Ovis aries: one gene and its partners. The protein of the gene in region 1 binds, or shares a complex with, the protein of each later gene. Links are inferred from orthologs where the notes say so. Each region holds a gene or a part of one and is shown in the gene's direction. Other genes may lie near its edges.

Evidence for each region. Proteins that work in one complex are often made in the same cells at the same time.
Region 2: EIF3I (region 1) and EIF3F share a complex: the UniProt entries of both Homo sapiens proteins name them as parts of the eukaryotic translation initiation factor 3 (eIF-3) complex. The link is inferred for Ovis aries from reciprocal best matches to the Homo sapiens genes EIF3I and EIF3F.
Region 3: EIF3I (region 1) and EIF3G share a complex: the UniProt entries of both Homo sapiens proteins name them as parts of the eukaryotic translation initiation factor 3 (eIF-3) complex. The link is inferred for Ovis aries from reciprocal best matches to the Homo sapiens genes EIF3I and EIF3G.

Annotation. Positions count from the first base shown.
Region 1 is NC_056055.1:235,308,604-235,312,769, reverse strand, and holds the start of EIF3I (eukaryotic translation initiation factor 3 subunit I), read left to right. Parts: upstream 1-1,366; 5' UTR 1,367-1,403; coding exon 1,404-1,406; intron 1,407-1,499; coding exon 1,500-1,592; intron 1,593-2,826; coding exon 2,827-2,914; intron 2,915-3,216; coding exon 3,217-3,282; intron 3,283-4,166. Other genes in the region: TMEM234 (transmembrane protein 234), read right to left, coding at 1-25, 835-986, 1,268-1,283. UniProt on the Homo sapiens protein: Component of the eukaryotic translation initiation factor 3 (eIF-3) complex, which is required for several steps in the initiation of protein synthesis.
Region 2 is NC_056068.1:44,245,836-44,249,838, reverse strand, and holds the start of EIF3F (eukaryotic translation initiation factor 3 subunit F), read left to right. Parts: upstream 1-1,203; 5' UTR 1,204-1,220; coding exon 1,221-1,620; intron 1,621-4,003. UniProt on the Homo sapiens protein: Component of the eukaryotic translation initiation factor 3 (eIF-3) complex, which is required for several steps in the initiation of protein synthesis.
Region 3 is NC_056058.1:12,527,644-12,531,612, reverse strand, and holds the start of EIF3G (eukaryotic translation initiation factor 3 subunit G), read left to right. Parts: upstream 1-1,169; 5' UTR 1,170-1,219; coding exon 1,220-1,239; intron 1,240-1,387; coding exon 1,388-1,434; intron 1,435-2,029; coding exon 2,030-2,113; intron 2,114-2,221; coding exon 2,222-2,310; intron 2,311-2,454; coding exon 2,455-2,514; intron 2,515-3,682; coding exon 3,683-3,787; intron 3,788-3,891; coding exon 3,892-3,969. UniProt on the Homo sapiens protein: RNA-binding component of the eukaryotic translation initiation factor 3 (eIF-3) complex, which is required for several steps in the initiation of protein synthesis.

The DNA of each region.
Region 1 (4,166 bases):
GGTTGAGAGAAAAGGGCATCAGGTACTGGAAACAGAAGAAAACTGGTCAGTGTGATTGCTTATCTGAGCAGGGCTGCCTTCTTTGAGCTTTGAGATAAGCCTTTCCTTGGAGGGAGGGGTAGCTGTAAGGGCTAGGGCCCAAGCCATCTGAAAAGGACCCTTCCAGGGCAGAGGGAACATCACTGACTGAACCCCATGCCTTTGCCCTGAATGCCCTCCCCCTCAGCCCGGCTGGTTTCTGTCCTCCCCATCCTGCAAGTCCCTGAGCGCCAGTGTTCCTCTCTCCAAGAAACCTTCCCTCAGTCGCCTAGCTCCAGCCTCCCTCCTCTGAACTCACAAAGCACTTTGTCTGTACCTCACTCAAAGCCCTTACCCCTGAGAGGCAGTTGTGTCTATGACTTTCCCACCAGCCGAGACTGGCAGCACTGAGCTCAGAAGTAGTACTCTAGATTCTCCCTTATGCCCCCCTCCCCAGGGCCAATTTAAGCCCTAAGCCCTCCCTCTGGAAAAGTCTGTTGGAAGGATCACCATAATAAAATATTACTAGCTGCTCAGGGCATCAGAGACTTGAAACCTAATTATAATATGTATAAGGCCCACTGCTAACTGCTTTAGTGCCTCACCTCACTTAACCCTCACAACTGCCCCGTAAGACGGTTACCCTTATTATCCCCATTTTACAGATGACGAAACTGAGACTCAAGGCAAACAAGACTCATCCAAGAGCTTCTGGCGAGTAAGTGGTGGAGCACAGATTTTGAGCCTGATCTGTTTGACTCCAGAGACCAAATTCTTAGCTGCTACCCTCTAGAGAGGACTCATTCACAGACGCACCTCGGGATTCAAGAACAAGGTTTTCATTTCCTGCAGCAACTGCCGGGCCCAGGTCCGCTCATGAACCTGCTGCAGGCGAGAGGAGGCCCGCTTCAGCAATGGCTGTGTGCCACCCCACAGAGCGGCCACTAGCACCAGAGCCAGCACCTGCCCTGGATGGAGAGACGAGTGACATCCCCCGCCGCCCCACCGCACGGCCTTAGCCCTCCTCCGGTCTCCCATTCCCACCCCGCCGCTCCCACATCCCTTCTTTGCTCTCCGACGCCCCGGGTCTGATTGGCGGGTAGGACAGGCCCCGGGAAGCCGGGGAGATGGATCCTGGAGCCCAAGTTCGGGGTTGTAGCAAGGGTCGGGGTTAGGTGGTGGAGGAGGGAGTAAGAAATGAACTTGGGATAGCAGTCTGGAAGCGAGGGGAGGGGCGGGGCCCGCTTACCCAGGGTCGCCGCCATGGCAACGCCGATCCTCTCCACTTCCGGGAACAAAGGGGGCGGAGACTCGTAATCCGGAAGTGGCGCCAAAGCCTCTTCCGGTTCTACTCACGTTGCCGCTTTCCTCGCGTCACCGCCGGAATGGTGAGTTCTCCTGTGTTAAAGGTATTGCCGTAGGGGTCCGTGCTGGGGTAGGGGCCAATTCTGGGCGCTGACACTGCCGTCCTGTCCCCACAGAAGCCGATCCTGCTGCAGGGCCATGAGCGGTCCATTACTCAGATTAAGTACAACCGCGAGGGAGACCTCCTTTTCACGGTGGCGAAGGACCCTGTGAGCGTCGGCCGAAGGGCGGGCCCGCCGGGACCTTGCGGAGGGGGCTCGGGAGCGGGCGCGTTCATTCTCCCGGGGCGAAGGGTGGACAAGCTAGTTTTGCTGCGAGAAAAACCGAGGAGTGCCCCGTTCTGAGAAGTAGGGAGAGATCAGCCCGGGGTTTGGAGGGCAAGAGCATTACACCGATAGATGTGGGAAAGGACTCCATTGTTGATAGGAGGGAGTAGCCAGGGAGAAGAAAAGCAAGGGTACCTTGTGGAAAGGGGACGGGGACGTGGGTCATCTTGCTCATGGGGCGGAGAGGAGCTCATTCCGGGGAAGAACAAAACTATTCTACAAGGATAGGGGAACAGACCACCTGGAGAAGGGGGAAGTTGATCCTGGGGCGGCGAGGATAAAGACCTTAAAGAAGGTGTCCTTGGTATCATTTCAGTCATCCCTCTTCCTGCCACTCACTCACTGCAAACAGCCCCTTTGAGTACTGCATTTTGAGGCACCTCCATATGGAGAAAGTTAACCCTAGTGGCTAAACGTGGGGGCTGACACACCTGATTTGAATCCTGAGTCCTGTATTCACTAGCAGTGTGACTTTGAACATGCCATTTAACCATTATAAACTTTAAGAGCCCCTTTTTACAAAATATGGGTAGTAATAGTACCTCCCTCTTGGGGTTGTCTTTAGAATTAAATGAGATTATTCAAATAAAGAGCTTACTTGAATAAAGAGTGTTTGTGAGTACCATATTAATGTTAGACACATTTTAAATTCCTTAGACATTATTTTATTGGAGTCTCACAGCTACTCTTTGAAAAAGGCGTTATTGTCCTGGCCAGTTTACACGTGGGAAAACTGAAGTTCAGAGGGGAAAAGCACACATTTCAATAATACAGTGAGATAGTAGCAGAGCAGGGACTGGAACCTAGGTTTCTCTCCTACCAACGGCTCCTGTTTGGACAGAACACCAAAACACTACTCTTTTGCTAGGCTGATACTCAGCTTGACCTTTTATTCCTCAAAGGGTTTAGGAGTCTGGGGAAAGGCTGGTATGATGGAGACTTTTTCGCAAGCAGGAGGAGAATCCAGGAGTTGGTCTTTTTACCAGCAACCTGCTGTTCCCCAAGAGATGAGCTGGGGAGGGTCGAATCTGGCCTGGCTAGAAGCTTCTGGGGCAAAATAGGCCATGGCTCTGCCCACAATGCCTATCATCCTGTCACATTGTCCTTGATCCTCCAGATTGTCAATGTATGGTACTCTGTGAATGGTGAGAGACTGGGCACCTACATGGGCCATACCGGAGCTGTGTGGTGTGTGGACGCTGACTGTATCCTTATCTTTGTTCTGAGTCTGTGCTACCAGGGTCTGCCAGCAATGGAGAAGCTGCTGACCTGAAGCTGAGAGTTTGAGATGCTCTGGTGGGGTCTGGAGAATGATGCTACCTACCTCCTACTCCTTGGTCTGTTCACTATTTCGGGGAACATTTAGGACAGGTTCCAGTTCTGAATGAGGAGGTTAGGATGAGAGAAGGAAGGCTCTCTGGTGCTGAATAGGGAGATGATTCACTTGGCCTTCCAAGAGGACAAGGACTCAGGTGAATTCTGTTATGCTTCTTAACACCCTCTTCAGGGGACACCAAGCATGTCCTCACTGGCTCAGCTGACAACAGCTGTCGTCTCTGGGACTGTGAAACAGGTAAGCCTGGATCCTGCACTTTTTCAGCAAACAGTGAGGACCTACAATATACTTATTGAGGTCAACAGGTTCTGGGGAAATAGAGATAAAACCAGAGATGGTTCCCAGTCTAGGGAAAAAGAGACAAGAAAATCAGGAGACAGAGATGAAAAGAGGCACTCCAGTGAGATATAAGCCTTGTTAGAGGTAGCACAGTGCACTATGAAAGCTGAGGGGGAGGCACCTGAAGCCTGAAATGGGGATGGGATCAGCCCGGGAAGGCTTCCCAAAGCAAGTGTCATGTGAGGCGATAGCTGTGGCAGATGCAAGAGTGGAAGCACAGCAAGTGGCACGTCCAAGTCATCTGATCTGGCAGGAGCTCCTGCTTCTCGGGGGTGAAACAGACAGCAGTGGAGAAGCTGAGGCAGGCTAGGGCCAGACGGGCCTTGAATGTGAGCTCAGGAACATGACTGTTCTGTAGGACTTCATGCTGGGGAGGGTCCTGAGCAGGGAAGAGCCTGTTCAATTCTTTTTTTTTTTTTTAATTTTTGGCCACACCCTGTGGCAACTGGGATCTTAGTTCCCTGACCAGGGATTGAACCCACACCCCCTGCATTGGAAGGCAGAGTCTTAACCACTGCTGGGGAAGTCCCCAAGCATGTTTAGCTTTGGCAAGCCCAGGTAGCAGTGGGGAACATTGCAGGAACAGACAGAAGACAGGGGAGCCTATTGAACGGCTCCATTTAGGAAATATTTTCTGGGTACCCAGATCTCTCCCAGGTCTTTGCTGGGCACTGGTGACATGCAGAGAAGTTAGAGCAGGTCTTTGCTATGGAGAAGCACATTCTCCAGAGGTGGAGACAGATACAATGTCGTCCGTTGTGAGTGCCACAGTGGCGGGATGT
Region 2 (4,003 bases), on another chromosome or scaffold:
AGGGAATTCTAATCAAAAAAGGTAGATCCAAGGAGAAAGTAGTTCTTGGGCATGAGTTCCGGGCTAAGAAGTCCAACCTCACCCACTCACCTTGCCGGCTGGAACCTGGCACATCCAACTAAAGGAATTGACAAGTTTCCTCATAGGCAGATGTTATCATACCCCTCACGCAATAAAGGAAACTGAGGCTCAGGAACTTAAAATAAAAACCCTCTAGATTGCCCAAAGTTACGCAAGGAGTGAGGATCAGAGCTCCTTCCACACGTAGTGTTGCAGAAACCAGTAATCGAGAAACCAAACACCATACTCGGAGAGTTGGAGAACTCAGGTTTGTTAAGCCAGCAGGCCCAGAGGAGTTAACACTCCAAGCTCTGAGCCCCGAACAAAGGAGTTACAGAGTTTTTATAGACAGACTATAGTGGACAGCACTAGCTGCCAACAGGCTGATTTAAACTAAGGCGTTTCACAGGCACAGGAACAGGGGTCAAAACGGGGAGATGAATGGCTGACCTTTACTTGGACGCGCGTGATTAAGCAGGATTGCAGGGGCTGGGCAATCACAAAGAGCAGGACAAGGGTGCGTGAGATAAGCTCCAGTTCCTAGTATTCTAAGTCCTCACTTTCTGAGGCTACATGACCTAGAGTTACAGAGGCAGAACCAGCAGGAGTTTATGTAAAATTTTATCTTTCCCTCTTCACTAACACATTTGTTGCTGCTGCTGCTAAGTCGCTTCAGTCGTGTAAAAGTACTTGTCTCTCTCTACTAGAACGTAAAGTTTCAAGGACAATGGTCTTTATTTTGCTCTCTGATAGCTCCTAAAAGTGTCTGGCACATATTCAAATTGTTTAATGAATGACACACTGTATGGACACCTTAGGATGCAGTCAAGAACAAAGCTCTTTCCTTGATGCCAATTATCCCATTGAAGTGCCAGCTGCGACCTTTGCACCGCTCTATGGCTCCATCTGGTGGCAGTGTCTCTCTCCTCCCAGGGCGGTCGCAAGTTTACTCGGAACTACTTAGCTTGATTCTCACTGAGTGCGCATCGGACCAAAATCAAAGAGCACAAACACAGAGCCGGAAATTGTAGCTCTGAGAAGCATCATCAGTAGCCAGTAAGCAGAAGCACCTAGTTCACGTGGTGCAGGTTCAGCCTATGGTGCTCCTAATGTTCTCCAACTCGCTCCCTTCCGCTCCTCGCTCCTTCTCTCTCGACAAGATGGCCACACCGGCAGTACCGGCGAGCGCGCCTCCCGCCACCCCGTCCGAAGCCCCAGCTGCGGCCTCATCTCCGGCCTCGGCCTCGGCCCCGGCCCCAGCCCCAGCCTCAGCCTCGGCCCCGGCTCCATCGCCGGCTCCGGCTCCAGCTCCATCGCCGGCTCCCGCGTCATCCTCAGACCCGGCAGCAGCAGCGGCTACGACCGCGGCTCCGGGCCAGACCCCGGCCTCAGCGCCAGCCCCAGCGCAGACCCCCGCACAGTCTCTCTCTGGCCCTGCTCTCCCAGGCCCCTTCCCCGGCGGCCGCGTGGTCCGGCTGCACCCGGTCATTTTGGCCTCCATCGTGGACAGCTACGAGCGACGCAACGAGGGAGCTGCCCGAGTTATCGGGACCCTGCTGGGTGAGTGGTCAGGGGAAACTGACGTTCTCCTCTACTGCCCACCTTGTTTTATCTTGTCCCCCTTTCTTCTCACTCCCTTGTAGTTATTTGTTGAAAAAGTATCGTGTGCCAAGTGACTCACATTTTATTTTTAATCTTTGCAGTAGCATTTCACTTCAACGGTTATTAGTCCCAATCGACGGAAAATGTGTTCACAACCTTACTGGGACGTCAAAAACCTTTTGACTCCTTAAACCCAGTGACCAAGTTTTCCCCCCTTACCTACTACTGGTCTTTATTTTCCGAGTGTTAACCGAGAAGTTTTTTCTAACTAGTTGGCAATGGAGTGGGGACATCTGTAGAAAGATATCCCTCGCAGCAAGTAAACCAGTTTGGCAGGAACCCATTTGAATTTCAATATTCTGCTTTCTTAAACGTCTAAGCCTGATCCGCCTTTCCTCGCTCTCTGTAATACTAGTCACCAGTGAAATATAGACCCCCGTTCCCCCACTGTAGACTGTGATTCTTCGTTTGGACACAATTAATACAATACAAATCTATTCTTTGTATTAACGATTACATGGAGAAATAACTTTTTTCCCTGACATGTTCCAAATTTGAGAAATGGGTACTTTATGTTAGAGTAAAACCGAGAAGCCCTAAAAAGGGATTTCTGACGATGTATTCTTTTATCTGGGGACGTCGGGTCCCATCAGATTAATTTTTCACTCCATCTTGATCACAGATACGGGGCACTTTTGTGATTCCAGTTTAGTCCCATTTATGATTTCTCTTTCTTAACCCTTGAACTTGTAATAGTTTCCATTGTAGAAGACAGTTGGTGTATTGAGAAGAGGACGGTAGTTGTAGCCAGACTTCTGCAAAAGTTAGGGAAGTCTCTTTCCTTCAGGGACTTGCTGAAGACATCTAACTGTGCTGACACAGACTAGGTATGAAGCAGCTGTCGGTTGCTGTCGTCCACCGCATCATGCACACTCCTGACACACACATTCTCTCTCTTATCTTTGAGAGAGTAGCATTTCACGGAAACTTCAGTTGATCCGTTATCTTACGAACATTGCCATAGCTATCTCAAACCAAGCCTTTGTATTCTCTTTGCTTGTTCTCCCTTATTTTTTCCTTTAAGCTCCACTCATTTTCCAGGTTCCCAGGAAAAGTTTTCACTCTGTCCTTCATCCCATACCCCCACCCTCACCTCTACTCATAATCTCCCAAAGTGTGAAAGTGTTAGTCACTCAGTCCTGTCGGACTCTTTGCGACCCCATGGACTCTATGGTAAGAAACAATTCTCAATTCTCCACCCTAGGTTTGTATTCAGTTCAGTTCAGTCGTGTCCGACTCTTTGCGACCCCATGAATCGCAGCACGCCAGGCCTCCCTGTCCATCACCAAATCCCGGAGTTTACTCAGTCTCATGCCCATCAAGTCGGTGATGCCATCCAGCCATCTCTTCCTCGTTCGTCCCCTTCTCCTCCTGCCCCCAATCCCTCCCAGCATCAGGGTCTTTTCCAGTGAGTCAACTCTTCGCATGAGGTGGCCAAAGTACTGGAGTTCAGCTTTAGCATCAGTCCTTCCAGTGAACACCCAGGACTGATCTCCTTCAGAATGGACTGGTTGGATCTCCTTGCAGTCCAAGGGACTCTCAAGAGTCTTCTCCAACACCACAATTCAAAAGCATCAATTCTTTGGCGCTCAGCCTTCTTCACAGTCCAACTCTCACATCCATACATAACCACTGGAAAAACCATAGCCTTGACTAGATGGAACTTAGTCGGCAAAGTAATGTCTCTCCTTTTGAACATACTATCTAGGTTGGTCATAACTTTTCTTCCAAGGAGTAAGCATCTTTCAATTTCATGGCTGCAATCACCATCTACAGTGATTTTGGAGCCCCCAAAAATAAAGTCTGACACTGTTTCCACTGTTTTCCCATCTATTTCCCATGAAGTGATGGGACTGGATGCCATGATCTTCGTTTTCTGAATGTTGAGCTTTAAGCCAACTTTTTCACTCTGCTCCTTCACTTTCATCAAGAGGCTTTTTAGTTCCTCTTCACTTTCTGCCATGAGGGTGGTGTCACCTGCATATCTGAGGTTATTGATAGTTCTCCCGGCAGTCGTGATTCCAGCTTGTGCTTCTTCCAGCCCAGCATTTCTCATGATGTACTCTGCATAGAAGTTAAATAAGCAGGGTGACAATATACAGCCTTGACGTACTCCTTTTCCTATTTGGAAAAGGCTGCTGTTCCATGTCCAGTTCGAACTGTTGCTTCCTGACCTGCATGTAGGTTTCTCAAGAGGCAGGTCAGGTGGTCTGGTATTCCCATCTCTTTCAGAATTTTCCACAATTTATTGTGATCCAGACACTCAAAGGTTTTGGCATAG
Region 3 (3,969 bases), on another chromosome or scaffold:
ATAAATATTTTTAAAAATGTTATATATGTTATATATATATACATGTATATATATGTAATATATATATAAGAGACTATGATCTTTAGTCTAGTTTTTAAAGTCCTTTATAATCTGGTTCCTGTCGGTTCCAAATACCCATGAATTGAGCACTTATCAAGTGTAGACACCCTGAGGGTGCTGGGGACCCAGAAGTGAACAAAGCAGGCAAATGTGTTTCTGCAGAAGTCTGCAGCAGTTTTTACCATTTTTTTCATTATCATCCCTCTAAAGGAGAAAAATGGAATTATCTTCCATTTAAATCAGTGTTAATCTAATTACATTTAATTTCTCCCTAACAATAGAAATTAAATGTTTAGAAATAAGATTTTGTCTGGGAGGGTTGGCTTTGGAGGCCACAAGTCATTGTCATCTCCAAGTTGGTTTTTTTTTTGTTTGTTTCTTTTTTGCCACAGAACAATTAATTTTGGTCCCCTTGGGAGTCATATCACTCCCACTGAGAATGCATACAGTAGAGGGAACGCTGGACAATAAGCAATAAATTAAAGAAAATGGAAAAGATTATATCAGGGAGCCAAGAATGTTACTAGGAATTCCCCGGTGGTCCAGTGGTTAAGACTCTGCACTTCCACTGCAGCGCCCAGTTCTGATACCTGGTTAGGGAATTAAGATTCTGCAAGCCTCACAGTGCGGGGGGGGGAGTTACTCAAGGAGGGAGAATAGTTAGGGGGTGACTTGATATCTTGATCATTTGAATCAGAAAAGTTATTTCCAGGCAAGGAAGACCAGTTTTGGTTTCTTCAGCTGAAAAATGGAAACGATAATTTCCTCCTCACAGTTCCTGCAAACAGTCAGAGCTATATAATTGAGCTTTATTGTCATTATTTTTAATTTTTAAAAAAAGTAAAAGAAAAGGTCCGGTGGTTAAGATTCAGTGATCCCAATGCAGGCCCTCCTGGTCCAGGAACTAGATCCTACATGCCGCAACTAAGACCCAGCGCAGCCAAATAAATAAATAAATAAATAAGATTTTCAGGTAAATGAGCCGAGCCTCTAATAGTAAGATACCAGGGCCCAGCCTCTCACATAGGCGGCGCTTCTACCTCCGTCCGTAGGGGGCGCTGTGGAGTGCTACGGCTGCTCTAGGCAGCGGAGCCGGAAGTCTCTTTCACCTCTTACTTCCGGTCTTTGGCCCAGGCTTGGGCTGCGTGGAGATTTTGCGATGCCGACCGGAGACTTTGAGTGAGTCAGGGGTCGTGGAGGGGGTTTGGTAAGCAGACCGGGGATGGGGGGCGGTCCTAGGAGTTAATATAGAGCCTGGGTGCGTTGAGGCCGCGGGAGCTGGGCCTCGCCTCACTCATCCCTCCTTTTGACAAACTTGTCCCCGCAGTTCGAAGCCCAGTTGGGCGGACCAGGTGGAAGAGGAAGGAGAGGACGGTGAGTCTACCTTGTCGCCTCGGATCACCGCAGCCCGGCCTCCCCCCGCCGCCCCAGGCCGTCACTGCTGCCTGCTCTGATCCTCCACCCTGGCACCGCCGTCAGACCCTGCATCTCCCCTCACAGCCAGCCCCTGCCCCGCGCCACTCTCATCTGGGCCAGCCTATCTCCAACTCCATACGTTCACCAGCCAGCCCATCTTCTGCCGTGCCACCGCCCAAGTCCTTGATGCCAGCACTTCTGCTTCCCTGCTCCTGGCAGGAAATTGTTTAACAGCCACACTCCTGCCTTTGTATTAATACTATTGCCCGGATGCCTGTGGCCCTCCCCTTCCCTCAGGCCCTCAGGCCCTCAGGCCCTCAGGCCAAGGATCCCCTTCCCCTTCTCATTGCTGGAAGTTACTACCGGCCAGCTCCGTGTCCCTGAATGGCTATCCCAAGACACTTCCTGGCCAGTCCTCTGCCCTTGGTCCCACCTTTCTCAGCTCCTGGTGCAGGCATCATCCCAAAGGTCCCTTGATTTCAGCTTGGGAGTTCCTGTCGCTGCCCACCCCTACCCCCCAGCTGACCCCTGCTCCCTCCACTCCCTGTCACAGACAAATGTGTCACCAGCGAGCTCCTCAAGGGGATCCCCCTGGCCACTGGGGATACCAGTCCAGAGCCTGAGCTATTGCCGGGAGGTGAGTGCCCGACTTCACTCCAGCCCTGGGCCGTCTCTCTCCCCAGCCTCCTTCCTTCTGGTCCCTATTACCCAGGGCTCAGTTCCTTTGTCTCTTCCTCTCTCCCAGCTCCACTGCCACCTCCCAAGGAGGTCATCAATGGAAACATCAAAACAGTGACGGAGTATAAGATAGATGAGGATGGCAAGAAGTTCAAGGTGAGGCTGGGGAAGAGGTGGGAGCCCTTTGCTTGAGGGGCACTTGGACTAGGGAGAGAGTGGTGTGTTGGATGTCTTGATGAGGAAGATCTGCTAGGAACCTTGAGGAGCAGAAGGCCCAAACGTTTCCCCTCCTATCCACAGATCGTCCGCACCTTCAGAATTGAGACCCGGAAGGCCTCAAAGGCTGTGGCAAGGAGGAAGGTAAGACCCTTCTCCCCCTTCCTTGGGGGCTCCTCCAGGGCTGACTCAAAGAAAAAATAGGAGTTCTTTTCCCTATTGCCTTCATTTTTAGAAGTGGGGTTTAACTGTTTGTTAAACAATTTCCTGGTGGCTTCCCTGGTGGCTCAGTGGTAAAGAATCTTCCTGCAATGCAGGAGATGCTGGTTCATCCCTGGGTCAGGACGGTACCCTGGAGAAGGGGATGATTACCCACTCCAGTGTTCTTGCCTGGAGAATTCCATGGACAGAGGAGCCTGGTGGGCTATAGTCCATAGGGTCGCAAAAAGTTAGACATGATTGAGAGACTGATGCTTTTTTGTTTCTTTCTAATTGTTTGGTTGCACCACACAGCATGTGGGATCTTAGTTCCCCGAGCAAGGCTTGAAACCACACCTTGTGCATTGAGAGTGCGGAGTCTTAACCACTGGGCCACCGGGGAAGTCCCCTGGGTGTACCTCTTCTGTTGGAGCAGAACTGAGGCCTGTGTGCAGTCCGTGGGGGCCCTGAAAAGTCCAGCAGGTGCAGGAGTGGGAGCGGAGGGGTTGGTTCTTACTTCTCTCGGCTTGTCGCCTGGGAGGAACAGAGCCAAAGCCCTCCTGTGAGGTGGTCGTAGCAGCAGAAGTGATGGCAGTAAATACGTTTTGCACAGTTACCTACATACTCGGTGTTAGACTCAGGTGCTTCGTGGGAAGTATTTTCTCATTCATTCCCCTAGCATTCCAGGGAGGTGTGGGGAGCATTGTGGTCCCTTATAGGGGAGGATGCCAAGGTACAGGTTGTTTAAGGAGCTCAAGGCCCCTGGAAATCTGGGTGATCCTGCACACCCCTGAGTATCACTCGGTGGAAGCTGGTCAGCCCCTGCCAGGGGTTGTTGGCTCTGGACCTGTTTACCCCTGAGCCTCAGTTTTCTCATCTGTAACATGAGGCTGAGAGCTGCCCCTACTCTTGGAGCTGGCATGGAGCTGGGGCCTGGCATGCCCTCAGGGAATAGCAACTGTCATCATCGCTTCTCCAAGGAGCATTTGAGGGCGGTGAATAGGGTTCAAGACTCACTCACCCTCAAGGTGGCTCTTGTTAAGTCTAGGGTGCAAATGGAGGGGGTCCCACTTGTCCTTGCCCTGACCTGTCCCCCATCCTGCCTTGAGCTCAGAACTGGAAGAAGTTTGGGAACTCAGAATTTGACCCACCGGGGCCCAACGTAGCCACCACCACAGTCAGCGATGATGTATCCATGACATTCATCACCAGCAAAGAGGTAAGTGTGGTGGCTGGCAGGGGGAGCCAGTGGCCAGGGTGTTACTGGAGGCAGCAGGGGAGCAGCTGAACTACCGTCTGAACTGCCACCACCTGCCCTGCCAGGATCTGAACTGCCAGGAAGAGGAGGACCCAATGAACAAGCTCAAGGGCCAGAAGATAGTGTCCTGCCGAATCTGCAAG